Linked DNA regions of Pelodiscus sinensis. The protein of the gene in region 1 interacts with the protein of each later gene in a pairwise test. Links are inferred from orthologs where the notes say so. Each region holds a gene or a part of one and is shown in the gene's direction. Other genes may lie near its edges.

Region 1 (7,671 bases):
AGGTGACCAGATCTTCAGTAAGGAATACTGGGATGACATGAAGAGGGAGATCTGAAGAAGTGGGCTGTGCCCACAAAAGCTCATGAGACCATCTACATTTTTTGTTAGTTTCTAAGACTGTTTCTCTCAAACTGTGGGTCCCGACCCCCTGGAGGGTCGTGAGCAACTTGGACGGGAGTCGCGGTATCACAAAGTTTGAGAACCCCTGCTCTAATGTGCTGCAAGACTATTCTTTTTTTTTTTTTTTTTTTTTAGAGAGTGAGGGATGTTTCAAAGTTGGACTGGCATTCAAGGTATATAAAGGACAGGGGGCAAAGAAAGAAAATATGGTATCCGTATGCACTTCTCAACTAAGCAATGCCCATCCCAACTTATTCTTTAATGTACTCTTCTTCCCAGAGTAAAAATGGGGATGTACCATGTACCGTCAAGGTAGGAGGTGAGTATTTACCATCTGTGTCCCTTTTGCTATATTTTTCAAATCTCAGCTTCTTGCATTTTCCATTCTGTATCTACACACCCAACTCTTCCTTATTTAAACCCTCTCTTGCCTGAATTATTTTATTATTTATTACTAAACATAGAGGCTGTGTCTAGACTGGCCAGTTTTTCTGGAAAATCAGCTGCTTTTCCAGAAAAACTTGCCAGCTGTCTACACTGGCCACTTGAATTTCCGCAAAAGCACTGACTTCCTACTGTAAGAAATCAGTGCTTTTGGCGGAAATACCATGCTGCTCCCGTTCGGGCAAAAGTCCCTTTTGCGCAAAACTTTTGCGCAAAATGGCCAGTGTAGACAGCTGAGATTTTTTTTGCGCAAAAAAAGCCCCGATCGCGAAAATGGCGATCGGGGCTTTTTTGCGGAAAAGAGCATCTAGATTGGCCACGGACGCTTTTCCGCAAAAAGTGCTTTTGCAGAAAAGTGTCCGTGCCAATCTAGATGTGCTTTTCCGAAAATGCTTTTAACGGAAAACTTTTCTGTTAAAAGCATTTCTGGAAAATCATGCCAGTCTAGCCATATATTATAGTAGTGCATGTAGGCCCCAATATATATTAGGGGCCATTGTGCTAACCTCTGCACAAACAAATAATGTAAGGTCCTGAGAGTGGTGACCTTATTATCTTATTAATTGCACTTCTTTTGTCTCTGTGCTCTGTCATATTTTTCTTCACCTTTGTCTTCTTTTTCCTTTTCTCTGCTCATTTTTCTTTTCCTCCACACCTTTAAATCTATTCCCCCTCTTATTTCCTCCATATTTCCCCCTTATTCTTACTCATGTATTGACAGTTAAGTTTTATATTGATCCTCCTCCTTCTCCTGAAACAGTCAAACTGACTTCATTTTTGTACCCTTCCACCTTTGTCTCGACAAGCTACCATAAGGTAAGTGAAGAGAAACTGGCTAGGTTAGCACCTGTCTCAATACGGTGGCAATGTACTAAGCTCTTTATAAAGCTAGCGACACTCAGAATAGGTTGAGTGAATGACTCTATGTTGATCTGAATCTCTGATTGCACCTGCCCTAGAGAAGTTTGTACCCATTTTTCAGCAACAGTTTAGATGCACTATTAGACATGATGTAAGCTTTAGTGTGTACAGTGCTGAGGAGTTTTTACTCAACATTATAAAAGCCTGCTTATGTGAAAGGTTATAGTCAGATTTTCATGATGTGATGGTAAAAATGCCTGAGTCCATTTACACTAGCATTGTATCTGTTGATTGCAGTACTTCAGATGTACTTGTGCTGGAAAAGACTATAGACAATTCTTGTTGTTGTTGCATAAACAAGATCTTTGTGGGAGGACTACCTCAAACTCTCTGATGGGAAAGATAGATGACTTCACTATTTCTGAAAGGGTAAAGGATAATGTGGTAATAGGTGAAAGTCCTAGTGATGTGTGTGGTCAGAAAAATATAATTTCTCTGCAGGTTTATGATTAATATAGTAGTGGCATAAGTGTTCTATCTAGCCATCTAAAATGGTACAACTCCAAAGGTCTCAAAGCCCTTTCTAAATGTGAAAACAACAAGGAGTCCTGTGGCACCTCAAAGACTAACGTTAATTTGGGCATAAGCTTTCATGGATAAAACCCCCTTCATCAGATGCATTCTGAATGTGAGTTAACTTACATTTTAGAGACACTGAGTGCATAAGAACATAAGAACGGCCGTACTGGGTCAGACCAAAGGTCCATCTAGCCCAGTATCCTGTCTACCGACAGTGGCCAGCACCAGGTGCCCCAGAGAGGGTGGACCGAAGACAATGATCAAGCGATTTGTCTCCTGCCATCTCTCTCCAGCCTCTGACAAACAGAGGCCAAGGACATCATTTTATCCCCTGGCTAATAGCCTTTTATGGACCTAACCTCCATGAAATTATCTAGCTTCTCTTTAAACTCTATTATAGTCCTAGCCTTCACAGCCTCCTCTGGCAAGGAGTTCCACAGGTTGACTACACGCTGTGTGAAGAAGAACTTTCTTTTATTCGTTTTAAACCTGCTACCCATTAATTTCATTTGGTGTCCTCTAGTTCTTCTATTTAGGGAACTAATAAATAACTTTTCTTTATCGGCCCTCTCCACACCACTCATGATTTTATAGACCTCTATCATATACCCCCTCAGTCTCCTCTTTTTTAAACTGAAAAGTCCCAGTCGCTTTAACCTCCCCTTCATGTTCCCTTGATTCATAAAGCATAGCAATATACAGTTAAACTCCATTGGTCCGGCATCTGACGGTCCGGCACTCCTGATGGTCCAGCACCATCAGGAACCCGGAAGTGCTCCGCAGCCGGACCATTGGAGCTGCTCTGCCCCCAGCTTCCCCTATTCAGCCGCTGCTAAAACTGACCAGTGGCTAAATCGGGGAAGCCGGAGGTAGAGCAGCTGGGGCGCTGCCCCTGGGGGCTGCGTGACCAACCCGGCAGCACCCCAAGCGTCCTGATTCAGCCGCTGCTGAAATTGACCAGAGGCTGATTCCAGGAAGCCCGAGGCAGAGCTGCTCTGCCTCAGGCTTTCTGGAGTCAGCTCTTGGTCAATTTCAGCAGCGGCTGACTTGGGGACGCCTGGGGCAGAGCAGCTGGGGTGCTGCTGGGTTGGTCCCGCACCGCCGCTCCTCGGTGCTGAAATTGACCACTGCTGAAATTGACCAGCGGCTGACTCACTCAGTATCAGCAACGTCTGACTTGGGGACGCCTGAGGCAGAGCAGCTGGGGTGCTGCCGGGTTGATCCAGTAGCGCTGAGGAGCGGCGGTGCGGGACCAACCCAGCAGCACCCCAGCTGCTCTGCCCCAGGCGTCCCCAAGTCAGCCGCTGCTGAAATTGACCAAGAGCTGACTCCATTTTAGCCATCGGGCTTTCTTGCGCAAGAAATTCATGTTGCCTGTCTACACTAGCCTCTTGCGCAAGAACAGTTGCACAAGAGGGCTTATTCCTGAGTGGGAGCATCATAGTTTTTGCGCAAGAAGCACTGATTTCACACATTAGAACATCAGTGTTCTTGCGCAAGAACTCCCCGCCAATGTAGACAGGCAGTATGTTTTTGCGCAAAAGCAGCCACTTTGGCGCAAGACTGCGCCAATGTAGAAACAGTCTGAGACTCTGCAGTTCTAAAAAATTAGGTCACTTATTTACACTTTATTTAGGTGCCTAACTTTTAGGACACACATTTGATCATTTTGACATCTGATTTGATTTGTCCAGAATAGTGAATTCCCTGACTGGCGCATGAACCACTACTCTTTTTTGCAGTGGTTTTTTTTTTTTTTTTTTTTTTTTTTTTTTTTGCAGGGGGTAGAGGGAGGCAGGGACACTTCATCCCTTGGAAATTGATTTTGTCAAGAAGTGGGTCTTGTTTGATACAGCCATATATGAACCTCCCGTGTCTAGAAGTACAAGAATTGATGTCCTGCTTTAAAAAAAAATGCTTTTTGGTAAATGTTTAGAATTTTATGATGAAATTGATGTGCCGTCGAGGGAATCATTTCTTACCAACGTAAGTATTGTATGTGACACCTACTACTTTTCAGTTACAAAATCCCCTGGGGCTTGGGTAGCCCAGGGAGATCCAGATCCTCCAAAGTACTTAAGCCCCTCATTCCCCCTGCTTTGGAGGGGAGCTGAGGCCAGACATACCTGTGACAACTGGAGCCAGTCTGACGCTAGCGTCCTACCCTGTGGCAGGCCCTGCCCAGGCCCAGGGGCAGGGGGCTGCTGCCCAGCGCTGGCGTGCAGCGGTTCAGCCCTCAGGGCCGGGCTGGTTCAGTGGCACAGGACCCGGCTCCCCCAACGGCTCCTGCGGCGCAGCCCCCACACTGCCTAGCGCGATGTCTTCGGACCGTTCGAAACTGGGTCCCCCCGCCCCGCCCCGCCCCTTCTGCCAGGCCCGCCCCGCTTCTCACTGTTCCCAGGCTGGGAGCGCTGAGGACGGGCCTTTTTCGAGGGGGCGCGCGGCTGGGAACCGGGAAGCCTGGTGCCCTCCCACCCCCAGCGCTGGGAGTTCGGTGCCTGACAGGCTGGGGCGGAGCGCGCACGCGCAGTCCCGCGCGCTGACCGCTCCGGGCAGCAGCCCTCGCTGCTCACAGCAGCTTCCCAGCGTCTCTGGGGTGGGGGGGGGGATGCCGGACGCACTACGCATGCGCCTCACTTGCAAAGCCCCTGGCGGAGTCGTGGAACGCGCGGCTCCTGCGACCCTGACTCTGGTTTCTCCCTGCCCATCCGGTTCCGGGTCAGCGCGGGGGCGGGGGTGGGAGGAGGGGGTGTCTGTCAGTTTCCTGAAGGGACCTAGTCCCGGTAGGTATGTCCCGCTGCCGGGGGGAGCTGGGGGGGCGGGGTCGGTAGTCGCTGGCTCTGTGGAGGGGGGGTGCCCCCTTGAGGGGCGTCACGGAGTCGGGGGCGCTTGGGAACCGTTGGGCGGCGGCGTTTCTTGTTCACCCCCCTCCCCGAGCTGGGCCGGGCCGTGTGTGGCGCCCGGTGTCGAACCGGCCGCTCGGTAGCCGGGGCCGGGCGGCTTTGGGCAACGTCCGCAGTGCTTTGAGCGCGCTCTGGCCGCGGTGCGTTCGGCGCTTTCTGTGGGGCGCTGTCTCGGGAAGCCAGGGCTTGGCAGGGGAAGCGGCCTTCACAGGCTCAACGCGAAACCGCCGTCTGAAGCGGCGCTATCCAACGTAAACGGGCAAGCAACGATGGGACCGCTACTGGGAGACCAGTACTTAGGTGTCGTAGCTGAGCTTTGCTCGGCAGAGTCAGGAGTCCTGCTCAGTCCCGCTCTCCTTAGCATGTGTGGCTGAAACAGGCAGGAATCGCACTCTGAAATGGCGTGGGGTGTGTTCTTTCGTACTGTCAACATCCCCTGGTCTTCCTGCTTAACGCCCTTCAGCTTTTATGACCGTAGCACCCTATCATGTGAGCAGATAAATTCCCTATTCCCAGAATGCAGATGTTGAAAGAAGAGAACAGCTTCTTGTGGTTATCCTGCAGAAGAGACCAAACTTGTTAAATGGTCATCCTCTTTTGTGGAGACTGACCAAAAAAAATTTTTTTGGTGTTGATTTCTAGTTTAAAATAAGAGAGAGATAGATAGATACAGGCAGTCCCCGGGTTACGTACAAGATAGGGACTGTAGGTTTGTTCTTAAGTTGAATTTGTATGTAAGTCGGAACTGGTACATATTGTAGGGGAAACTCTAGCCAAACATTTCTCCAGAGCTCAGTTTTATTCTCCCACACCTCACTTCCCTCAGTCCTTTATTCTCAAGCTGAGTTGTCTGCTGAGAAAAGCCGCTCCGCGTCTCCCTGGTCTGCTGGGGTGGGGGGCTAGCTTCATGTCTCCCTGGTCTGCTGGGGGGAAGCAGCTAGTGCGGGGTTGCCTCACCCCATTTGTAAGTAGGGATCCGATGTAAGTCGGATCCATGTAACCCGTGGACTGCCTGTAAGCTGCTGCAATTTTTATAGTAACTCAGATTGTAAATAGGTGGACATACCACATTAAAATACAGGAAATAAAGAACTGTTTTCAATCTAGTTGTCACCTTGAATACCAAATTCGCTGAAGTTTTCTCAAACTTCAATCAAATACTTACATTCCTGCTCTCTATGTAGTTCAATAGAAGTTGTTTAAAACTTGAAAGTTATGAACTCTAATATAGTTTCCCAATTTTTTTAGACTCTTCTGTTGGACCATCTTTTCATTCATGATTTAACGGCTTACCCCTTGCCATTGGAGATCAGATAACTGTAAAGCAGCCAGAACAATTACAGGCAGTCCCCGGGTTACACGGATCCGACTTGCATCGGATCCCTACTTACAAACGGGGTGAGGCAACCCCGCACTAGCTGCTTCCCCCCAGCAGACCAGGGAGACGTGAAGCTAGTGCCCCTCCTCCCCCAGAACACCAGGGAGATGCGGAGCGGCTTTTCTCAGCAGACACCTCAGCTTTAGAATAAAGGACTGAGGGAAGTGAGGTGTGGGAGAATAAAACTGAGCTCTGGAGAAATGTTTGGCTAGAGTTTCCCCTACAATATGTACCAGTTCCGACTTACATACAAATTCAACTTAAGAACAAACCTACAGTCCCTATCTTGTACGTAACCCGGGGACTGCCTGTAAATACATGAAAAAAAATGTGAGGAAAAGAATTTAGTGTTAACTTCTAATAAATTTAATAGTTGGAAACAAGAAGGTACGAGCACCATATTATTTATTAAGTCTTGGAAGATCATATTTGGGAACTTCTAATTGAACTCAAAATCTTCCTTTAAGTGATCATTGTTTGTATTTAGTCAAGCTATGCTATAGATGTTTGACAACTGAAACAGTAACTTAATATGTTTTTCAGTTATGCACAAGTTTCTTCAGTGGAAACTGCCAGGTAAGTCATTTACAACTCTCTTCTATGTTTTCCAAGTAAAAGTTCTTTACATTAATGATTTGATGAACACTAATGATTGTTACGTTGATTTACAGTGATTATTGCTAATCTTCTAACAACATTTTAGCATGAAAGTCATTAAAGAAATCCATCGCTTCCACTATATCCGTGTTTAATCTGGTTGCCAAATCTATTAATTGCACAACTGTTCCTGTTAGCTACTTTAAATAACTGGTTTATTAAGCAATAAGACATGCTAAACTGTGTGTTTTAAAATGTTTAACACCTTGGGCTATATTATGAGGTACAAAGCCAAAATTACTTTAACAAACCTAAAGCAATAACTGCTGTACAGTGCATTACATAGAGTTCAGTATTACATTGAATTCCATTTCATAATAATATTTTTCCTCCCCAGTAAAAGCTATTTTTAGAGCTGCAAGATGCTTCTCACGAAGCAAGTATTTTTATAACTTCATTACAATGCATTCTTATAACTTTTTGAGATGTGGGAATGACTTGCAACTTTGCAGGTAGCTAGTACTTGATGAAGATGAGTAGTTATTTCAATTTTTGAACCTCATGATACAAATTTAGAAACAAAAGAGTTTTGCTCAGGTACAGTAAAACGTGACAGTGCTTTTAATCTGGGTAAGTTTCTAACCATTTGGTTGAATTAGGAAATATGCCATTTTTAGATTTCATATATTAACTGTGACTAGAAAGCAAAATTGTCATCATTATGAAATTTTTCTATTTTTTAAATGACAATTTCAATTGAAATGTCATGCTTAGCTGGTAAGATAACTA
Region 2 (6,836 bases), on another chromosome or scaffold:
GCGGAGGTGCTCGGGGGCATGACTAGCAACTGAAACTACATTTAAAACTTGACAAGTTGTTGATACTGCCTCTTTAAAATAACTCTCAAGCACCATAGTGATAGAAATGTAGCCGTGTTAGTCTGGGGTAGTTGAAGCAAAATGCAGGACAATGTAGCACTTTAACAGTGACTTCAAAATGTTTTAAAGGAGAAGCAACCACCAGGTGGCAACAAGTGGTAAGAAAACTTTCATTAGTGAATTTACAATGGCTTAGTTAGAAAAATGTGAATGAATTTTTTTTCTCAAAGTGATTGTTCTCTATTTGACTTATCAGTACTCCATCCTCAAAGGAAACCTGCACAACACTATCAAAAGATGAACCTGGGAGCGTAAATTCATAACTTTTCTACATGTTAAAAATAAACTCTGGAGTCCTGGCTTATTACAACAATCTATAACACATTAACAACCTTCCTCGCTGCTCCCAGTTTTTCATTCCCACAACTGGAAAAGTATTAACCAGCCACTTCACTTTGAATGGTCCCTTGAAATATGTCTTAACTGTCTCTGCTAAACAATCTGCTTCACTTTGTATTTAGCTGTTACACTCAAAGTATGTTTCTTAATCCTGAAGACAAGCTCTTGGCAAGCTGAAAAGACTGTTTCTCTCACCAGTAAAAGTTGGTCCAATAAAGGACGGGGATTGTGGATTCAAGCAAATTCTCATCTTAAATTTCAAATATGTTTCCCATCTAGATCTATAGTTGGTAACATTCCAGTTAACACCTTTCATTTAATTCTTCAGGATTTACAGAGATTTTGCGTTGATACAGGAAAATCCTTTAGAATAACATTTTAAACATTCTAGCAATCTGTTTCTGTCCTTTCACGCTAACAACCTGATACTTAGATGTGCCAAGTACCTTCACCTCTCATTTAACTTTGATCTTGTGTACACTGGAGATTTATTCTAATTTCAACCATGGGTGTCCAGCCATCAGTGTAGCTGTACTATAAACCCCTGGGCTATGTCTACACTGCAGGTTTTTTGCACAAGAACTTTTTGCACAAGAGTTCTTGTGCAAAAGTTCTTGCGCAAGAGCGCATCCACACTGCCATGGGCTTTTACACAAGAGATGTGCTTTGAGTTGTTGCACAAGGGTGCATCCACACTGCCATGTGCTTTTGCACAAGAGATGTGCTTTTGAGCAAGAGGGTCTATGGCAGTGTGGATGCTCTCTTGCACAAGAAAGCTCTGCTGGCCATTTTAGCCATAGAGGTTCCCTGTTTCCATCTCTTGCGCAAAAAGCCCTCTCTTCTAGCTACTGTAAACTTTCTTGTGCAAGAATGGGCTTGTAGTGTGGATGCTCTGCAAGTTTTTGAACAAGAACAGTCATTCTTGCACAAGAAGCCTGCAGTGTAGACACAGCCCTGGTGTAAACAAGGGAAAATAGTAGTGTTGATTTTTCACTAGTGCATTTTACCCCATTTCCCAGCAGGATTCCTGTAATCTTAAGTGTGTGTTGAATCAGTCTCTAGATTAATTTGCTCTCAATTTTTTTTATTTATCTTGCCCCCCTCCCACTCCAAGAATCTACACTGTGTACAAACTAAGACCCCAATTTGGGAAAGATTTATGCATGCATTAAACTTTATATATAGGTAGTCCTATAGAGTCTAGATCTCAGTGGAGCTATTCATGTGCATAAGATTAAGCAAGTGTATAAATCCCTGCAGGATCAGGACAGACAGACCCTAGAAGACATTTTACTATATAGCATGGTGCTAACTGGGATGGTAGATTTGGACTATTAGAGTAATAAGCACAATAACCAGGAACAAGGATTTGCACAAAGGGGATCTAAGATGATAGCCCCCAAAATATTTTCAAAGGAGTAATGAAGAAAAACCACATGGGCTAGTGAAAAAGGCCAAAAAGGTCAATGAACATGTCATTAACTTAGAAGTCATCTTTCTTATCTGCCTCTTTTGACTATCCAGTCTTTAAGTGCTTATAGACTGTTTTTCCTGTTACATTCCAGCTGAGCTTTCCCCTTGATATTTTTATACCCACTATATCTTCTTGTTTTTCCCCCTCTCCTATTTTTTCCTTCTCCCCCCCTCCCCTATTTATTTTTGTTCTGGGCATCCAACACTCTGGTTATCTGAAGAAGTGGGCTGTGCCCAGGAAAGCTCATGAGACCATCTACATGTTTTGTTAGTATTTAAAATGCTACCGGACCATTTGTTGTTTTTAAGTTTTTCTTTGAGCGTGTGTTTCTGCAATAAAATGTTTCTCATCTTGCTACCTTTCCAGGTTCGCTTAATGGTGTGTCTGGAGTCTTTGCCACTCAACAGTCCTTAATCCTCACGAGTGGGGAGGATCAAAAGGGATTCCCCTACACCACGAGCAGAGCTTTTCACTCCAAATGGTTTCAGCAATGCATTCCCCCTCCAAATGGAAAGCACAAAAATGAGTGAGGGAAGAAATGTCCAGCACTTAATGTGAGGTGAGCCCCCCCCCCCTAAAGTTGGCAGCTGATATAGTCGGGCACCTCCCGGCTCAGTGTGTCAGTGAGAAAGTAAGAGCATTGCTGGAGCGCGCTCAGGTTGCTCTTTCACTGCCATGCCCCGGAAGCGTCTAGCCCATAACTCATCACAGGGCTGGCTGGGATTTCGGGTTAGGTATCAACCCGGCCTCTTTCCACCTCTGCCGGCACCAGGCCTCGGCGCTGGTTTGGGGGGTTGTGTTTGGCTCGTCTCCCCGGCGCGGCGCCCGGGCCGGCCTTGGGTAAGAGCGCAGGCAGCAGCGCCTCCCGCAGCCTCCCCGGAGCCGCCTGCGTCTTCCGCCCCCGCCGGCGCCAAGGGGAAGCCGCGAGCAGCGCGCGGTCCTGGCTTTGCACCGCCCGGCGGGGAGCAGGCCCGCGACGCCCAGCGCAGCATTGGCCCTGCGTGGCTGCAGCCCCGGCCCACAGCAAGGAGCCACCCGGTGCGTTTCCCGCTCCCGCCTCCCTTTCCCAGGGAGCCCCGCTCCATACACCCCGGCCGGCCGAGCATGCAGGCAGCCCGGCAGGCTGCTCCCGGCCACGCACGGGGCATGTGGCCCGCCCCGCCAGGGATACGCCGATCGCCTCCTTCCTTTCCCCGTTTCTTGAATGAACAGCGAGGTGGAGCTCTCGGGATCCCGCCCCTCCTGCGCGGGCCTCTCCCGGCCCGTCTCCTCCCCGCCACTGGGCTCCGCTCCGCCTCCCTCCTCCTCTTGCCGCCGCGCTGTGCCTGTGCTTCCCCGGCCGCCACAGCGACGCGGAACGGACTGGCGCTCCAGCAGCACCACTGCAGACAGACTAGGGGGCTGCTCTGCCGGGCGGCTGACAAGGCTGCCGGTGCTGGGGCGGGAAAAGGGAGCGGGGAACAACTTCCTAGCTGCGGTCCTAATTTGTATGAATAATATTCCACACACGCCCCCATCCTCTTCCCTCCTCTGCACAGTGGGGGTTTCTTCCTTTTTTATACAAACAAAGCTGCTTTGGGAAGGCATTTGCTCCCGGGAGTTCAGGCAACCGCCACAATTTTGATGCTCCCTTTTTGAGTGTGTGGGTGTACGTGTGTGTGTGGGAGCGCTGGGCTGCACCTAGGGATCAGCCTCTGAATGAAACTACATGTATTCAATTGCATGTGTCTGTACCTTGCACTGGAGGGGAAAGCACAGCAGCACTTCTGCAAGAGCTTGGAGTCAAAGGTGTGTTTCATCTGCTCTTCACAATTTTGTTTTTTGTTTTGGGTTGTTCTTTTTCCTGGGCTCTGAGGCTGGATATTCTGAGCTTTGACATGTCTTTGGAGAGGTCTGTTTAACAGAAGGCGGGGAAATATTTTTTGAAATCCTTAGGGTTTTGTTTTTGTCCCTTTCCTGTCCCCTTGGTGATTTGATCTTGTGAAGCATCAAAGCAGCCAGAACTTAATGTGTCTGAAGACTTCTGATTTTTTTAAAGGAAACTTGACAGAGGAACATATTTATAGTTCAAGTAAGTACTTTTCACAGCAAATTTACATTGTGTAATTAAAAAAAAAACAGTGTTGAGATTTTTTAGTTTAAAGTGTATTGGATTAATATTCATCCAAGGCTGTTGAACAAATCAGTTTGAATTGCAGTTTTTGCAGTCTATGTTCTTCAACTCCTTCATTCACATGTGCTTGTTCAGCACCTTGGGGAACGTATGCACCTTGTTTTGAATAAGTATGAGATATTTTTTAAAAAAAATGTATTTCAGCATCAAGAAGAAAATGTTTCTAAAATAAGTATATAATAAGTAAACATGTGCTTCTGGAAATAAAATACACGTGCATCCAAACCGAGAAGTCGAAAGTACCTCTGAGACCTCAGAGCTACCATCATGAATGAAACCACATCAAATACAATAACTGGATTATAATTTTTGGTATTATTGTTATTGGCTACTTTACTTTTTTGGGTTCATTCTTCTCCTCTTCTTCCTCTCTCCTTCGTCCTTGTTGGAAATTATGGCTCATCCTGGGAGAAGAGGCTATGATAACCGGGAGATAGTGTTGAAGTACATCCATTACAAACTGTCACAGAGGGGGTATGATTGGGCTGCCAATGAAAACAGAGGACCAGTTTCTTCAAGTCTCTCTCCTCCTGCTGCTGCTGGGACCCCATCTGACCATGCTGGGCTGGTGTCTTTGCCGCCTGAACCCCCTGGTTCGGCTGCTGCTAGTAATGTGCCCCTTGGTGATGGGCTGCGCTCAGCACCACAGGCTGTTCACTTGACTCTGTGCCAAGCCGGAGATGAATTTTCCCGCCGCTATCACAGAGATTTTGCCCAGATGTCTGGGCAGCTGCACTTGACCCCATTCACGGCCAGGGGGCGCTTTGTGGCGGTGGTGGAGGAGCTATTCCGAGATGGGATTAACTGGGGAAGGATCGTGGCCTTCTTTGAATTTGGTGGCGTGATGTGTGTGGAGAGTGTCAACCGGGAGATGTCGCCTCTTGTGGACAGTATTGCTGTGTGGATGACTGAGTACCTGAACAGACACTTGCACAACTGGATCCAGGACAATGGAGGTTGGGTAAGTGTCCCGTATTTCTTTCTCTGTAAATTATGGTAGAATTTCCATCAATGTGGTCACATACTATAGTGATGCAAGCAGTATAGCAACCTATATAGACCAGAATATGAATATCATAATATACTTTAATTGACATAATGCAAGGCAGTGTTTTGGTCTGTGTTACTATAGTGTTTATCAGCATAGCTGTTGTTGGTGTGGAGCTTCTGGAATGTCATGTCATGCAGGAGTTAGAGTTTTGGTGTGGGAGTGGTCACAGTTCCCCATCCTTTGCTAAAAGCTTGGGTAAGAGGTGTATGCATGTATGTGCACACACTGAAAACAAACTTTCTTGTTGGCTGGTGCAGTGAGCGTTCTCCATTCTGTTTCAATGTACTTTAACCATTGAAATCATATGTATATGTTGCGCTATGGTAGAATGGATTCACAGAGCAGTGTGGGAAAGAAAAGCAGTGACATATCTAGGAATGATGCTATAGCCTAATGCTTGAATGAGGTTGAGGGAAAAGGAAAGCGTGTGTGTTTTGTGTATATGCTCATGTTAGTCAAGAATGCTGTAAGCAGGAGAACTCTATATTACAGATCATCAGATGGAGCAGTGTTTAAACTGAGCATCATCTGGTGTTTATAACATAAAAATATTAGAAAGATTTTACTGCATACGCTAAAAGTAATATTTTTAAATTGTCTTTTTCTAGTGCTTGTGTTGAATCAATTTCAGGTTAGGCAGAATAAAGTGTGGGGAGGAACTTTCTCTGACAGTTTTCTGGAGAGTGCATGCTATTTATTATAACCTGGTGTATTCCAAAGGCAAGAAGTATTTTATGAATTCCAGGGATTAAAAACAAACCAAAACTTTAACCTGGTGTATTCCAAAGGCAAGAAGTATTTTATGAATTCCAGGGATTAAAAACAAACCAAAACTCTGGCTGAGGTGGTTTTAGAAGGGAATAATTCAACCACAGGCAAAGAAAATCTACCATTTTCATCCATACAATCAAATCTCATCTGTTTCTGTCTCAAATAATAGTTTTGTCAATTGAAAGATGCTTTCTCCTTTTATTCATTTCATTCCTGCAGTATGCATAAAACCAATCTTGTATGATGTGCCTTAATGCATTTGTGAATCCAAGGAGCAAAAGACTCATTGCAACAGAAAACTTAATGTATGAGTCTGGGGGCTGTCATAAGTCATTTTAAAGAAGAAAATAGAATAGTTCTGGGATTCTAAAGGCCCTACTTCCGTCTGCTAGGTGGCATATTTATAGAGAGAGATTTGTTATATAGTACAATTTTAAGTTGCTTACTGCATTTTGCTTATGAAATTCATTTTTAAAACTATATATAAATTGTTACTGTACTTAAAGATTATAGATGCTGAAATATCACTTATCCACAGTGGCTGTGTCTATTCAAATATTGAGATCCTCCATTCTCTCCCATGGTTCTCAGCACAGGGTGTTTTACATCCAAGGGACTGGGAAACGTGTGGACTGACATTAGTAGGAAGAGCAGGCATTTGTGGCATTCTACCATGTTTGTGTTCTACTTCTGAAGTTAAACTTCAGGACAAGTGATTAAGACAGTGATATCGACTGAAATGTGGAAAACCCCCCAGCTTGTTTTGAAGGTTATAAATATGGCTTAAAAGTTGCAGGACAGCCCCTCAACATGGACCTGAAGGATAGCCTTCAAAGATAACATTTTTCAAAATGAGTCTTTAGCATTCTTTGGAACAGCTGTTTATGCTGTGCATAGGGGAAAAGAAC
Region 3 (7,564 bases), on another chromosome or scaffold:
GAGGAAGCTTTTACACACCACATCCCCTCCTTCATGGTCAAAACTACCACATCCCTGGAAAGTCTGCACAGAATCATAAGGACTTGGCCTAGCCTTTTAATGACCCTCCTCTCCACGAGGGTCTGCAGGCCACTTCACTCTAAAAGTACTGTTCTGTACCTACACTGCTCCTTAAGCAAGAGCAGGCAAGGAAAAGATTTACTGCTGGTGTAACCAGAATCAATTCCTATGTAAATGGCTATCTTTTTTTCCAGTCTCCAGTAGGCTCTTGGGCTAAGTCTACACTGCAGGCTTTTTGTGCAAGAACAGGTGTTCTTGCGCAAAAATTGGCAGAGCATCTACACTGCACGCATGTTCTTGCACAAGTAAATTTACAGTAAAGCATCAGAAGAGAGGGCTTCTTGCGCAAGAGTTATTCCTCTATGAGGAATAAGCCCTCTTGCGCAAGGCAGTGTGGATGGGGACAGGGGTTTCTTGCGCAAGAGGGCGTCCACACTGCCATGGATGCTCTTGCACAAAAACACATCTCTTGCGCAAAGGCACATGGCAGTGTGGATGCGCTCTTGTGCAAGAACTCTTGCACAAAAAATTCTTGCGCAAGAAGCCTGCAGTGTAGACGTAGCCATGGGGTAAGTCTGCATTGCAATAAAACACTCAGGGCTGGCCTGTGTCCACTGGCTCAGGCTACAGGGCCATAAATTTGGGTTAGATGTTTGGTCCTGAATGCTGCTACCCTCCAAAGGAGGAGCAGCCCAGGTTCCAACCAAAGCATAATGTTTGGGGTTCATGGGGGCCAAAAGTAGGTTTCAGGGTGTTAGAAAGCCAGAGTGCCGCTCTGTAAGGCTGATGCCACAGACTCTGAGCCCTGCCTCCTAGGGCTGAAACCAAACCCTGAATAACTTAGCTTTGCAGGGCTTCATACTCTTAGAAGCCTATTCCAGCAGACCTTTCATGGAAGGGGCTTGTATTGTATTTGAAATCAGGTGGAAGCTTGCTGCAGAAGCACATAGTCCAAGTCTTTTCTGATACACATGATTAGCTAGCAAATTAGATACCTGTCTGACTGGAAGTTTATGAAATATTTACTACTTAGCAGAAATCAAAACTATATATAATATGCATTATGTATCTGGCCATGTTAGAGTAGTTGCTTTATTCAGAGCCATTCGAGTCTCTAGGGCAAATTAGTAACTACAGAATTTTTTTATGGGTGATGAAGAGATAGTGAATATTGTTTAGCCAAAAGACAGAAGCAGTTCTTTGCATCAGCTGTCTTGCATAATGAGGATGTTCAAATTTTAATTAAATCTTATGTATATTCATGAAAACTTATCGAACTGCCAGACCTAGTAGATCTGATTCCCCTACTAGGATTGCCAGACCAAGTAGATCTGATTCCCCTACTAGTCATTGATGTCCTGGTCAAAAACTGCAGTCAAAAAGGGGTCCCGGTGACTCCAGTTATCACTTCTGTCCAGGCCTTTGAGTCAGGTCAGCAGTGCAGTAGGGCTAAAGCAGGCTCCCTGCCCGCCCTGGCTCTAGGTAGTTTCCAGGAATGGGCAGCATGTCCCTGTGACCATTAGCTAGAAGGACAATCAGGGAAGTTTTGGGCACTGCCCTCTCTCCCAGCATCAACTCTGCAGTTCCCAATGATGGGAGCTGTGGCAAATGGAAGCTGCAGGGATAATGCCTGTGGGTGAAGTCAGTGCAAAGCTGCCTGCTCGTCTTTCTGCTTAGGAGCCAAGGGATATATCATCTCTTTTGGAAGAACCCCCAAGATAAGTCCTGCCTGAGCCCACACCGAAAATCCGCTCCTGCAGCCCAACCCACTGCCCCATCCACGAGTGTCCTTTTGCATCCAAACTCCCTCCTAGAGCCACACCTCCTCCCCCACTCTAGCCCTGAGCCCCCTTCTGCATCTCAAAAGCTTCAGCCCCACTCCAGAGCCTACACTCCCTGCTGGAGCCTGCCCCCCCCAAAGTCCAAGCTCCCTGCTCCAGTTCTGTACTCCAAACCCCTCAACTTCAGCCTGGACCGCCCTCTTGTACTACACCCCAGCCCAGTGAAAGTGAATGAATAGCAGGAAGAGCAAGCAACAGAGAAAGGGTGATGAAGAGTGGAGGGGTGCCCTTGGGAGAAGGGGCAGGGCAAAGGTATTTGATTTTCTGTGATTAGAAACGTGGCAACCCTACCCTCTAACTCTTAGGCTACATCTACACTAGCAGTTTCTTCCGGAAGAGCAGCCGTTCTTCCGCAAAAACTTGCCGGTTGTCTACACTGCACGAGCATTCTTCCAGAAGTAAATTTACTGTATAGCATTGTAAAACAGGGCTTCTTCCAGAAGAGTTATTCCTCTCCCCATAAGGAATAAGCCCTTTTGTGCAAGAATCCTCTGAACTGTCATTCATGTTAAAATTCGACACTTGCCAACAAGGACTTAACAAGACTTTGAACTTTCTCACCCATTACCAAGACAGTTTCCCCAATTATCACCTGTAATACCATTAACTCACAAACATCCCACTCTCCCTACCTTTAATATCAGCAATTCACAGACACTTACCTTCCTTCCTCCCCCTTCCCACCCCCCCGCATCCCCCTTCTGTTCTGCAATGTGATTTGTCCTTTTCATATTTGTTCATTTTTTTTAATTGTATCCTTTGGTATATATGGTTGTGACTACTTTCTTCCACTATTTGATCTGAGGAAGTGGGTCTGGCCCACGAAAGCTCATCATCTAATAAACCATCTTGTTAGTCTTTAAAGTGCTACATTGTCCTGCATTTTGCTTCAACTACCCCAGACTAACACAGCTACATTTCTATCACTATTCCAGAAGAGGGCATTGTAGACAGGCAACATGAATTTCTTGAGCAAGAAGTCCCTATGGTTAAAAAGGCCATCAGAGCTTTCTTGCAGAAGAGAGTGTCTACACTACCATGGATGCTCTTGCGCAAAAGCACATGGCAGTGTAGATGCTCTCTTGTGGAAGAATTTTTGCACAAGAACTCTTCTGCAAAAGAGTTCTTGTGCAAGAAGCTGCCAGCGTAGACGAAGCCTTAATGTTTAGCTTGGATATAGGGTTGTCCTCTACTTCTTCCTCCTCATATTCTCACATTTCTGTAGAGCTACCCTGTTAGCTCCCATAATGTGAAGAGTCTCAACCAGGAGCGGTTTGAGGCCGGCTGCGGCAGCTGGCGCCCCAAGCAGGCAGCGCAATTGGCGCCCCTGCCTGTACCGCCATCAATGGTCGTGACGTTATCATCGGGCGCCCGGGCCAGCAGCGCTCTAGGCAACTGCCTAGTTCGCCTAGGCTCATGGGCTGCCCCTAGACTCAACCTTTGGTAGCTTCCTATTTATTATCTAGCGAATACTAGAACTCTACTCAGTAGCTCCCTGCTACAATTTATGGTTGTAAGTGACTAGTCAACTACCTGATAAGCCTAGGCTTACAGGGTAGTCAAGTCAATACTCGACTAGTTGCTCCTCTCCCGCTGCCAGGAGAGTAGGAGCTGGTACCTGGCTCCTACTACATTTAAACTGCAGAGCTGCAGCTGCTATCCCCTAATTGAATAGTTTTTGAAAATTTAATTTGATTAACTGATTATCTGCATTTTAACATCCTTACTGCAACTTCCAATAGATAATTAACCATTAGTGGGCAGTTGACCTGTTTGTGTATATATGTTTAACTGTAAATGTGACCAGACATTTTCCCAGAAGCTCCTTCCTGCTAGCAACTTTGAGCTCTACCTGCATTGAAACCCCTTTGATTAGTTGCCTTCTTTAACTTGGCTGACTGATGGAGCAAAACAGTCAATCACAGTTGTTGTAGAAAGAGTGCTCTCCTCTCTCTTTGTAGCAATTTGAAACTTTCTCACAAGAGGGAAGGGGGAGTGGAGATATCTCCCCTCTTACCAGAAAAGAGGATGGCTGATTGACTCCTCCTGTCCCTCTCTCTCCCTGCACCAGCTGGTTTTAGAAGAGGCAGAGCAGGGAGGAAGAGCCCTTTGAGCAGGTTAGCCTGGAAAGGAGAGAGATCTTTCTGTAACCCTCCTTCTCCAGGTCTAGAAGGATGGGAGGAAGAACCCAGGGGGGCTATGAACTGATGGGAAGACTGAAGAGACATGACTGATTAGGAGCAAAACTAATTGCAAGGCAAGGGAGGGGTACCTCCTGCACCATGGGCCAAAATCACCTTAGTAAATTTGGGAGCCTTACACGCTGGAGCCAGAGCATGCTAAAGTGAGGACCACTCTTAAAATCTCGCCACTGCACCGGCTGGAGACGGAGTAGGGAGAACAGAGCTGGTCAAGAGGAACTTTCCTGACCATTGCTCCTGCCGGACACCCCCTCTCCCTGCAGGCGGACCCTTCTCTCGGAGAAGTCTCCTCGTTTGGCCAGCAGAGGGGGCTGTGGTAGTCCCAGCGCCTCGCCACTCTCCTGCTGCTGCCATAGGCGGGGCGAAGGGCCCTGCCGGCGCACGCGCCCCGCGGCAAGCTCCTGCCCCCACCCCAGGGATGACGTCATGGGTTTGGTCGCGGAGCATTGTGGGACGGGAGGAGCCGCCATTTTCGGTGGGGGGCGGAGCGAGCCGCACAGGCTGGGAGCCGGGAAGGGGACGCGCGGCGGCGGCGGCATTTACTGCCCGCAACTGTCAGCGCGTCTCCCGCGGGCGGCTCCGCGCCGGCTACCGGCGCGCCCACGGCAGCCGGCGGGCGGGGAAGCCGCTGGGGTTGGTGGTGCCGCCCTGCTCCCCCCACCGACATCCCCTCCGGTGCCCTCCCGGGGTGAGGAGCCCGGCCGCCTCGCCGAGCCCTGCGCGCATCGCCTCCGCTTGCAGCACCCGAGCGGTGAGTGAGGGAGAAGGGAAGAGGCCGGCTGGGGCCGAGCCCTGTGCCTGTCGGGGGCTGGGAAGGCGGGTGATGGGGCGCGGGTTGGTGAATAGGGGGTATAGAGCTTGGGGGGCTGGGGCCGAGCCCTGTGAGTGTCGGGGGCTGAGGGCGGCAGGGCGGGTGATGGGCACAAGGCCGGCGTGTTGGAGTAGGATAGAGCGGGGGGATGGGGCCGAGCCCTGTGTCTGTCGGGGGTTGGGGCAGCGCAGGAGGGTATGGGGTGGGAGTGGGTAGGGGGCGTGTGCAGAGAGGCAGCAGGAGGCGGTTGACAAGGGGTGGGGTTAGTCCGTGTTTTGCCATTTTCCATGAGCGCTGAACCTCACCTCCCTTCCCTTCTCCCATGACACAAACAGAACAAAAGGCTGGGCAGGTCTTGTTGGCCTGACGGTCCTTCTGTAGCTCATGGTTACAGCCAGCCTCTTCAGTATGTCTGTCAATCCCAGGACCTGCTCTGGCAGTGACTGTACTGGTGATTCTGCTGAAGAGATGCTGAGAGAAAGGGATCCTGTTCGTCTGGATTGCGAGCAGCTTTTTTGTTGTTGTTTCTCTTCTTTTCTTGCTCTTTCCTGGCTTCCTCCAGTGCTGCAGTTAGGGCCTGAGGATGCCCAAGGAGGAAACCCTGGACAGAGTTGTGGGATAAAGAGCTATTCCCTCCCTTGTAATGTCTTTATTTGCAAAATGGATAGATGGTTCGGTTGGTTGGTTGCTAGTTCTGAAATACTGAAAGAACAGTAATGACAGCTCTTGAATTTTCGTGTGTGGTGATTGGCTATATAAATTACAGAAGCAACAGCCATAGATTGTTACCTTTATATACCTCTTTATTGTTATACTTTAAGACTCTATGTATGAGGTCTTCACCCCAGAAGCCAATCATAGTTGCAAGATTTAAAAACAAACCCAAATCACAACTCTTCAATAAGCTGCACTTAATGTGAATGAAATAACAGTAATGTACATCAGGTTTTGTAGCTTCATAGGTGAAGCTTCTTTTCTTATCAGAGTCTTCCAGACCCCCTCAAACAAATAATTTAGTTTGTAAGAATGTGACTGTTTTTTTTTTCTAGATGACATATTATCTGTATAATGAGTGAGCCTTTATAGTCAATTAAATTCTCAAATAACAAATGTAAGCCTTACATTTCTGTAGTATGCTTTGTTCAGGGTATCTTGGGGATCATATCTTGATGATTAAGTGATAATTAAATGTACAAAAGCATATATATTTCTGCTTATTTTTCTTTGATTTATATTTTTTCTCTATATCATTTCAAAACTAAACATAACAGTAATGCAGTAAGCAAAACGGACTAAAACAAATGTGAAATTAGTTTGCATTGTATAAAATGAGAAATAAAAAAGTAAGCAAACATCCTAGATAGTATAAATTAATTTATACTATGTTTATTTTAAAATATGGATGATTTTACTAAAAAGCAAAGATTCTTAAAATATTATAAATCTGTATTGCTGTGACAATAGGAGCAAGCATGGTGCGTTATGGTATTTCATTTGGTGGATGTCTCATTTATTTTTGTTTATAGCTACACCTTGCATAGGAAACATTCGTCCAAATTAGCACACAAGATCATTCTTGAAATTTTTTTCCAGATACAAACATTGAAAAAAGTTGGCTACAATTTTGAGTTCAGCTTCTATTCAAAAATCATATTTGGCAAATAATTTTATTTTAATTGGTTATTAATTCCATAGCTGGGATACAATATAATTGAAGATAACCAAACCACAGGACTAATAATAGTATTGAGTAACAAGTTTAACATTCATAGACAATAGAGAGGAAGCAGATCCATTAGCTGAAATTGAGCACAGGACTTTCATGTTTTTTTCAGTCAGCAGAACAGTTTTATAGTTAACATGTTACTTAACAGGAAACTGCTGTGAAATTATAGCAAATTTGGAGAAGTATTATGTTGTGTTCAGAGCTCAGCAGACTTATGTGGGGAGGGGCAGAGGATTATAATAATCAATTCCTCAAAGTCACACCAGAATGCAGTATCACTTCTGCATCATGTTGCAGTTAAAAAGTTTGGAAGTCTTTCTGTTCCTCTGAGGATGATGGGAATGGACAATCCCATTAATATGAGGATCTATCAACATTATATTTATTTCCTGTTCCTTTTAATAAAAACAATATTGCTATCAAATAACATTTACAATCAAGGAAAATAAATAAGATGTTAGTTATATATTTTAAATTATCTTTTAAGCATTATAGCATTGAACTATTCGCATGTGCCATTTATCAAGGCAAAATGAGAGGCTAAGCGGCCTGGTAGTTTAGACAAAATAAGAAAAATCTAGCTTATCAGCATAAGAGTAATGGTGTATGCAACTTCAAATGAGGCATCTAAATTATTTAAGAGGAAGAATCTTTATATTTACTTTATTAAAGCAGGAGAACCGAAATAGTATTGTACAGGCACCTTTAAAATACAGAATCAGTTGCTGTTGCTATGCTGATGGAGGAGCTTTCCATGAGGTTGTCACAAAATTCTCACATATATACTTTCTTCTGCGCCTCTGCGTGTTTTTGGGTCTCCTGTTTGGCTGGGTGTCCCTGGAAGACTTCATTGTATCTTCAAATTTAGTCTCAAAATTTTTTCATTGAAAGTTGTGTGTTTCTTGAGACATTTGGATTTGAGCAG
Region 4 (7,139 bases), on another chromosome or scaffold:
AATGGCTGCCATTTTTGCCGACTCAGCACTTTGGCTGCAAAATGAGGCAGTCTAGAGGGGGATCTGTTGATAAAGAAAGCCTTTTTTCGACAGATTCTGGCACTTTTCTGCAGAGAAGTTTACAGGATCTGCCAAAAAAGGCTTTCTTTCTTGACAGATCCCCCTCTAGACTGCCTCTTTTTGCTGACAAAGTGCTAAGTCGGCAAAAATGGTGGCCATTTTTATGCAAATTAAGTGCGGGATATTTAAATCTCTGCTCCATTTGCAATGTCGACCTGCCTAATCTGCATCCCTCTGCCAACAGAGGGATGCAGTCTAGACATACCCAAAGTGTAGTTACATAAAAAATGCAAACGAACAGAAAACAGGAGGAACACACTGCAGACACTAATATAAACTTTCTAAGAAAAAATTATCTCTACAGTGAAACTTCACATTGTGCCAAATATATTGGGTACGTACTTGGGAAATACCCAGATTTGAGGACAAGGTCATATTTAAGACCTACGGCCAGTAATTTTGGCAAAGGCACCTCAAACAATATATCTAAAGAATTTTGCAACAAATCTAGGGGATGTAGTAACAAAAAGTCATTCTATTACATGTGACCTATGAATTCTAATGTTGAGTTTGCTTTCTTTAACTGGTCAGAGAAATGTAATAAATAGCTCACATGACTCATTAAATAGCAGCCACAGTTGCTATGCCTTTTGGCACAAAAGCAAATTGTCTATGCAAAAAGAGGAACCAAAACCTTTTTGTAGCCCTCAATTAATTTAATGGTTTGCTGAAATTTGATGGTGGAAGAGTGACCTGGAAAAGTTAAACATAAAAACATGAATTGCTGTTGTTCTGTGTCTGTAAAGAAATTAAAGAAAGGCAGCATTGTTTACACTGGGTAGCATAGTATTGTTATAAAGTCATCCTATAGCTCTATTTTTATAAACCAGTTACCAAGAAAAACATTCTGAGGAACATCCTTGTTATGTGTGTAAAGTTATGGCTTTGCCTCAATTGCTTGTTTTATTTGAAAATATCAGAGATGGGTGCTACCCATTTTCCAAATGTAAAACTGGTTGCTCCTTATTCATGACTGACTCCTCACAATGGATTAGGAAATGGATTATGTTACATATTCTGGTTTCCTGTTATTAAACATTAAAGGGCAAAATCTGGCTTGACTAATACTCTGTGTGAGACTATTCAAGTCAATTAGCATACATGGAGTGAAAATCAGGACAGAATTTGGCCTTACATTTTAAGACATTTCATGTGAAAGAAACACTCATGGGCCACTGTTTGCACATGTGGCATAGTCAGCTCCTTCCTGCCTCTGCTCAGGGGTTGGAGCAGCCAATAGATAACCTGACAAAAGTACTCAAGGCCTCGGTATGCCTACAATTGAATGTATATGTTTCCAGCAGGTGGTGGAGTTGAGCAAGCATAGACTGGGGCTATGTCTAGACTGCAGGCTTCTTTCAAAAGAAGCTTTTCCGGAAGCGATCTTCTGGAAAACCTTTTTCCGAAAGAGAGTGTCTATACAGCAAAAGTGCATCAAAAAAAGTGATCTGCTTTTTCTAAAGATAGCATCCACATTGATTGGACGCTATCTTGCATTTAAGGCCACCCTGAAGCAGTTCAGGCAGGACATTACATCAGCAGTTGCTTTCGAGTGCTGTTGCCTAAGCCTAGCTGAGAGACACACTTAAAGGGACCCCCGTGGACATATTTTCTCTGCTTCTGTTGTGTGCTTGTCTATCACTCTGAGGGCCAGCAAAGCTTTAGCAGTGTATGCTGTGGTTGCCCAGCTTTTGGACACCACAGCATTCTTTGTGACATGAAGCCAGAGTTGCCCCTTGGCATGCAATGGCCCCACAGGGCCATGCTGCAGTTTGTGCAGCAGTTTGTGCAGGCTGCCTTCAAGGCCCTCCACGAGCTTGACACCGAGTTAATCTTTGAGACTCTCTCCCTGTGTGTGGGAACAAGACCCTGGCAACCATACTTCACAGTGGAGAGATGGTTTTGGAGGCTCAACACCAGTTCCAACTGGTGGGACTGGCTGGTGATGGAGCGGTGGGATGACCAGCAGTGGCTCCAAAACTTCCATGCGGAAGACCACCTTTTTGGAGCTATGTGTCTGCCTAGCCTCTGCCCTCCAACGGCATGACACCCGCCTGTGGCCCGCCATCCCCCTGGAGAAGTGGATTGCCATCGCTGTCTGGAAGCTTGCCATCCCAGACACCTACCCGTCAGTGGGCAACCAGTTTGGTGTGGGGAAGTCCACCGTTGGGGCCCTCCTCATGGAGATAAGGCACCCTCGGGCTGCAGTCCCTTGGGGTGAGGGCAAGTCCTGGAAAGGGGGACCTTAGGGAAAGGAGGGTGGAGTGCTGTAGGGGTGGGCTTGGGGGGGAAGCCCCATCCCCAGGGGGTTGTGCCATCCCACCCTCACACAGCCCTGCTGCTGGGCTCATAGGGGGTATCTCCTGGGGTATTTGAGGGGGGGAGAAGAGGAGATGGGAGGGCACCTCCCAAGGGCTCAGGAACACCCCCTCTCATTCTCTGTTGTGTTTGTTTGTCTCCTTCCGCAGGTTGTGAGGGCCATCAACTCCATCCTGCTGGGCAAGGTCATCTGCTTGGGAGACCTGGACCAGCTGAAGCACAGGGCCGAACAGGAATCTCATGACCATTTCAGAAGGGGCCTTGCATGCACAACCCTTCATAGGTCCAATGAAATATATTACCTCATTCTCTCATTTTCTGTCAGTTCATTAGTCACCATCTGTAATTGGAATAAATTACATCATCAAACACTCATTCAGGCTATGCCTAGACTACAGGCTTCTTGCACAAGAAGCTTTTTTCGGAAGCGATCTTCCAAAAAAACTTCATGCAAAAGAGCATCCACACTGCAAAAGTGCATCAAAAAAGTGATGTGCTTTTTTGAAAGATAGCGTCCAGCCTGCCTGGACGCTATCTCACACGTAAGCAGTGATTGCGATGGACAGAATGGCCACCAAGGCACCTGTGCTTTTTCCTCTTCCTTCTTCTTCTGAAAAAATTCCCTCTTCCTCATCCATAGACGCCTTTTTGCAAGAGTGCTTTCGCAAAAAGACGTTCTTCCTCGTAGAATGAGGATTACCAATTGCAGAAAACCCCCGCAGTTCTTTTGATTTATTTGTGAAAGAATGCAATTGTAGTGTGGACGTTCCTCAAGTTTTGTCAGAAAAACTGACTGTTTTTCCGACAAAACTCTGTAGTGTAGACATACCTTCAGTGTGGAACAGAGGTAAATGTGAGAAGTATGTATAGACTCAGTTACTGCTGGCACAGAGTCAGCTTGCACTTCTGCCATTCAGGGGCTATCAGGACTGGGGTAGCTGCAGCCCAGACTAACTAGGGCTGCTGCAAGCCCTACTCGAATGGGCCCAGAGGGGTGCAGGTCTCCCTCAGTTATGTCCTCTTATGCCCAGTCTGACTCTTCTACATTCTGGAATTCCTGTGTTCCCTGCAGACACACCCCAGAGATTCCGTGCACCATAGTGGTGTTCTCAAGCTTTGCTCGCTCAGACTGTACAATGCTGAATCTGGCCCAAGCTGCTGCTTTGTCCCAAATGTGTTCAAATACCAAGTTGTGCCTAGGTCTGGCTATTGTTATGAAGTTGGTCCAATAAAAGATTACCAACCCACCTCGTCTCTCTAGCATAATACCTATTTATTCTGTATGGCTGGTACAATTCAACAGTGTAACATGATTCTTTGGCTGGCGCGTTTAATTTTTAAGTCAAAGAATAAGGAAGGAATTAAAATATATGACTTTTACTGTACCCACCATATTTATTTTTTCATTTTATAAAGTGTCAAACCTAGTTCAAGAACTTCAGAGATTATAAGGGGATTTTTAAAGCTTTGACATATGGTAATGTAAGCATACATGTTGAAAGCAGAAGCAGGTGTGCTCCCAGGTGGAGGCACTGGAGGGACACAAGGTAGCCTACTTGCATATCTCTGAGAAGAGAAACCAAAGCAAACCAGGAAGCAAATAAAAATATTCAGGCAAGCCACGTCTCAGGCTGTGAAAAAAACAGGCTGGCTGGGTTAGTTATTCATTACCAAGAGCTACAATGTGCAGAAAGGCTCTGTGCTGACCACAGCAGGCACTCATATGGGTCAAGAAGAAGAATCTTCAGAAGTAGTACAGCTCTGAGAAGAGTCAACGCTAAGATTTTAAAATTATTTCTAATTATTTGTACTTTTTTTCTTTTGATAGGACAAACAAGATCAATGATTTTCTTTTGCTGCCAGATTTTGGCCCAACCACTGTCCTTTTTTGTTTTCCTGATCAAAAGAGGAAGCAAACAATTCTCCCCCATGCACTATTGCCCTTTAATGCTCAGGTATCACTCCTGAGTAAGAAGCAGCCTGCAACAAGCTCTCGGTGGGACTTTGGAAAGAAAAGTTTCCAGCTACAGCAAAATTTATTTCATCTTGTGCCACAGGAGGAAAAATATCCTGCAAAGAACTAAAAGGATGACAATGCTAAATTATGTATAAAGATATTGCCACTTGGAAAAGAAAAGAAAAATAAAGAGGAGAGAAGAAGCCACCAAGAGGAGCAGCATGGGGAACTTTTGCCGGAAGCATTGCATTTGTATGCAGAGGTGTGCCCCTTGGCTCTTCCAAGAGAGTGATGATGGAGGAGAGGGGGAGAAATATAAGACAGGCCATGTTAATCGTGGCTTGTGGGGAAATGATTGCCAGATAGACAATACTGCCCAGGCAGGTGTGGATGCTGGAATTCCTTTGCCTCCACCGCGTGATCAGAAGCCCACAAACCGTCACAACTTTGTGGCACTGTTTGATTATCAGGCCCGCACTATAGATGATTTGAGCTTCCGAACTGGAGATAAACTCGAGGTGTTGGATACATCTCCAGAGGGCTGGTGGTACGCTACTCTCCTCCTGGACAGTGGGTCAACCCAGCCTGGCCAGACGCTCAGCGGCTACATCCCCGCCAACTACGTAGCTCCTGTTCAGAGCATTGAGGCTGAGCCGTAAGTAACACCCACATTATATGCACAATTGTTGTTCCTCTTGTCTTAATAGAAGGAACAGATTGCAATACCTTTTCTCACACTGACTAGTACCTTGTTCCAAAAGTCTTCTCAGTAGTGCAAGGCACTGCTTAACATGAGTAACGAGATCACAGTCTAGTCCCAAATAAATAAAATAAGGCAAAGTATTCAGATGTTTGTTTCATTCTAAATCACTTCCCTTCCCCACATGTCCTAATCACTTCCTTATTATATAGGTGGGTCACAGCTAGTACGGGTAATTATTATGATTATTATTTATATAGCAGTAAAAATATGCTAGGTGCTTTCTAAAGAATAAAAAGATAAGGGATCTGTTCCCAAAGGGCTTGTAATTTAAATAATTCCAAAGCTGAGTAAATTACTTAAAAAGGGCAAGAAGCTGGAAACATCCCCTCACATTTTGTTCCTAATGGTGGGTGAATTTCTAAGGTATCTGTGTTAGTTTCTATCTCATCATAGATGCAATGCGTGGTGCTGAATAAATAAATCCCCACCTTGCAGAGCTCAAAATCTGAGTTACACTATGGTACCGTAAATGGAGGAATGAATGGCTAGAATTCTTGCCTAAAAGTTATTTGAACTCATTAAGTCTGAAAAATCAGACTAGGAATCTAATTGAAATAGATTATTTCACTGGGAGTCTGATTTGAAGAGGAGTGGGGAATCCAATGTATGCACTGCAGTTGAGACAGGGGTTTGCTAAAAAAGCTGTGGCCACTATCCCAAAATAGATGCATGTTTCCACTGAAATGACTAGCTAACAGAACTGACATTTTTAGGTTCCAAAGGCCACTTTCTATTTGGATGAGTAGGGACAATCAATATCTCTTACAGTGCCAAAGACATACTTCACTCTTCAAAGGAATGGTACTACAGCTGTGTGGGGTAAATCTTCTTTCCCCCTGAAATATGCTCTCCTACCCATTAGCTGGGGCCACAGGGAATTGCCATAGAGTTGATTTACCAGCTGAAGATTCTTTCATGTTGGGAAAATCCTCAAGTGGAATGACCTGTTAGGGCAGGTGTAGGGCATCTCCCTTTTACCCTGGAGACCTTAGTGTGTACGGTCAGTCAGACAGCACTTCCTCCATTCATATTCAAAAGCCTCTTTGCAACCATGAACATTAATCTGCAAATACAGCATTTGTCTGGGGCTATAAGAGAAGTGTTTGTAATATGCTCTACTTCAGCTCAGTAAGACCGCCGCTCTCTTTCAAAAACTTGTTTTCTTGCAAGATTTCCAGGATTTCTGTTTCTTGTCACAGCTGGAAACATTGTGAAATCAACTTCAATTGTTATTCAACAGAATCTCATTTATCTCAGTCTCTCTCATATTTATAATCTGCCCTAGCATGCATAATTTGCATATAACATATTTATAGTGTCAAGATTTTTTCTTTTACTGTGTTTAAGTTTTACCTCTCCACTTTTTAAAAAGAGAAAGAATATCGTTATGCTGTGATCAATGTTTCTGCTTGAGGACCCATTGGATAGTAAAAACCTGCACTGGGAATTTTTCCAACTCTTGGTTGAAGAGTCTTTCCTCCAAAATATTAGTCAAGAATTTTAAGTGTTTTAATATTAAGATATTTTAAGTAAGAGTTAAAAACAAAACCAAAGAAACACAACCACCAAAGACACTCTAAAAATTTCTGTAGCTGTTCTCACATACCTCTAGCACATATTGGTAGACTAGGATCTGATATTTCGAATGTGAAAAAAGCAGAAAATGAACCCCCCCCCCCTCAAACCACACCATGAAGAAATAAGAGGGTTCAAACTTTTTTTCTGCTGGACATTAAAAATAAAAAGGGTAGAGATGGAGCTTAAAAAGTTAATGAAATTACTTCTTTCTAGGATTTAAAATGGAAATGTTGTGGGTCAGTCACTAATTTCCTTCTTTTTTAATTTGCATTTGAATCTGGTTTATCACTTGCGTGTAGGGCTGGGTATTTTACAAACATTTTCTATAATTTCTAAAGAGATTCATGTTTTCAAATCACAACTTTGTAAACTAATTTGTATAATTTGATTCAGGTAAGAGGT

What was found.
Region 2: the proteins of BNIP2 (region 1) and BCL2 interact in a two-hybrid assay, tested with the Homo sapiens proteins (3 studies listed by BioGRID and IntAct). The link is inferred for Pelodiscus sinensis from reciprocal best matches to the Homo sapiens genes BNIP2 and BCL2.
Region 3: the proteins of BNIP2 (region 1) and KLC1 interact in binary tests that used the Homo sapiens proteins (3 or more experiments, as listed by UniProt). The two-hybrid records come from large-scale screens. The link is inferred for Pelodiscus sinensis from reciprocal best matches to the Homo sapiens genes BNIP2 and KLC1.
Region 4: the proteins of BNIP2 (region 1) and FRK interact in binary tests that used the Homo sapiens proteins (3 or more experiments, as listed by UniProt). The two-hybrid records come from large-scale screens. The link is inferred for Pelodiscus sinensis from reciprocal best matches to the Homo sapiens genes BNIP2 and FRK.

What each region holds. Positions count from the first base shown.
Region 1 is NC_134724.1:43,189,092-43,196,762, forward strand, and holds the start of BNIP2 (BCL2/adenovirus E1B 19 kDa protein-interacting protein 2), read left to right. Parts: upstream 1-4,670; 5' UTR 4,671-4,787; exon of another isoform or gene 4,788-4,791; intron 4,792-4,893; exon of another isoform or gene 4,894-5,047; intron 5,048-6,828; exon of another isoform or gene 6,829-6,861; intron 6,862-7,671.
Region 2 is NC_134712.1:117,889,655-117,896,490, forward strand, and holds the start of BCL2 (apoptosis regulator Bcl-2), read left to right. Parts: upstream 1-3,815; 5' UTR 3,816-4,500; coding exon 4,501-5,067; intron 5,068-6,836. UniProt on the Homo sapiens protein: Suppresses apoptosis in a variety of cell systems including factor-dependent lymphohematopoietic and neural cells. Regulates cell death by controlling the mitochondrial membrane permeability. Appears to function in a feedback loop system with caspases.
Region 3 is NC_134714.1:20,265,237-20,272,800, reverse strand, and holds the start of KLC1 (kinesin light chain 1), read left to right. Parts: upstream 1-4,564; 5' UTR 4,565-4,853; intron 4,854-7,564. UniProt on the Homo sapiens protein: Kinesin is a microtubule-associated force-producing protein that may play a role in organelle transport. The light chain may function in coupling of cargo to the heavy chain or in the modulation of its ATPase activity.
Region 4 is NC_134713.1:82,695,307-82,702,445, reverse strand, and holds the start of FRK (tyrosine-protein kinase FRK), read left to right. Parts: upstream 1-4,122; 5' UTR 4,123-4,617; coding exon 4,618-5,051; intron 5,052-7,139. UniProt on the Homo sapiens protein: Non-receptor tyrosine-protein kinase that negatively regulates cell proliferation.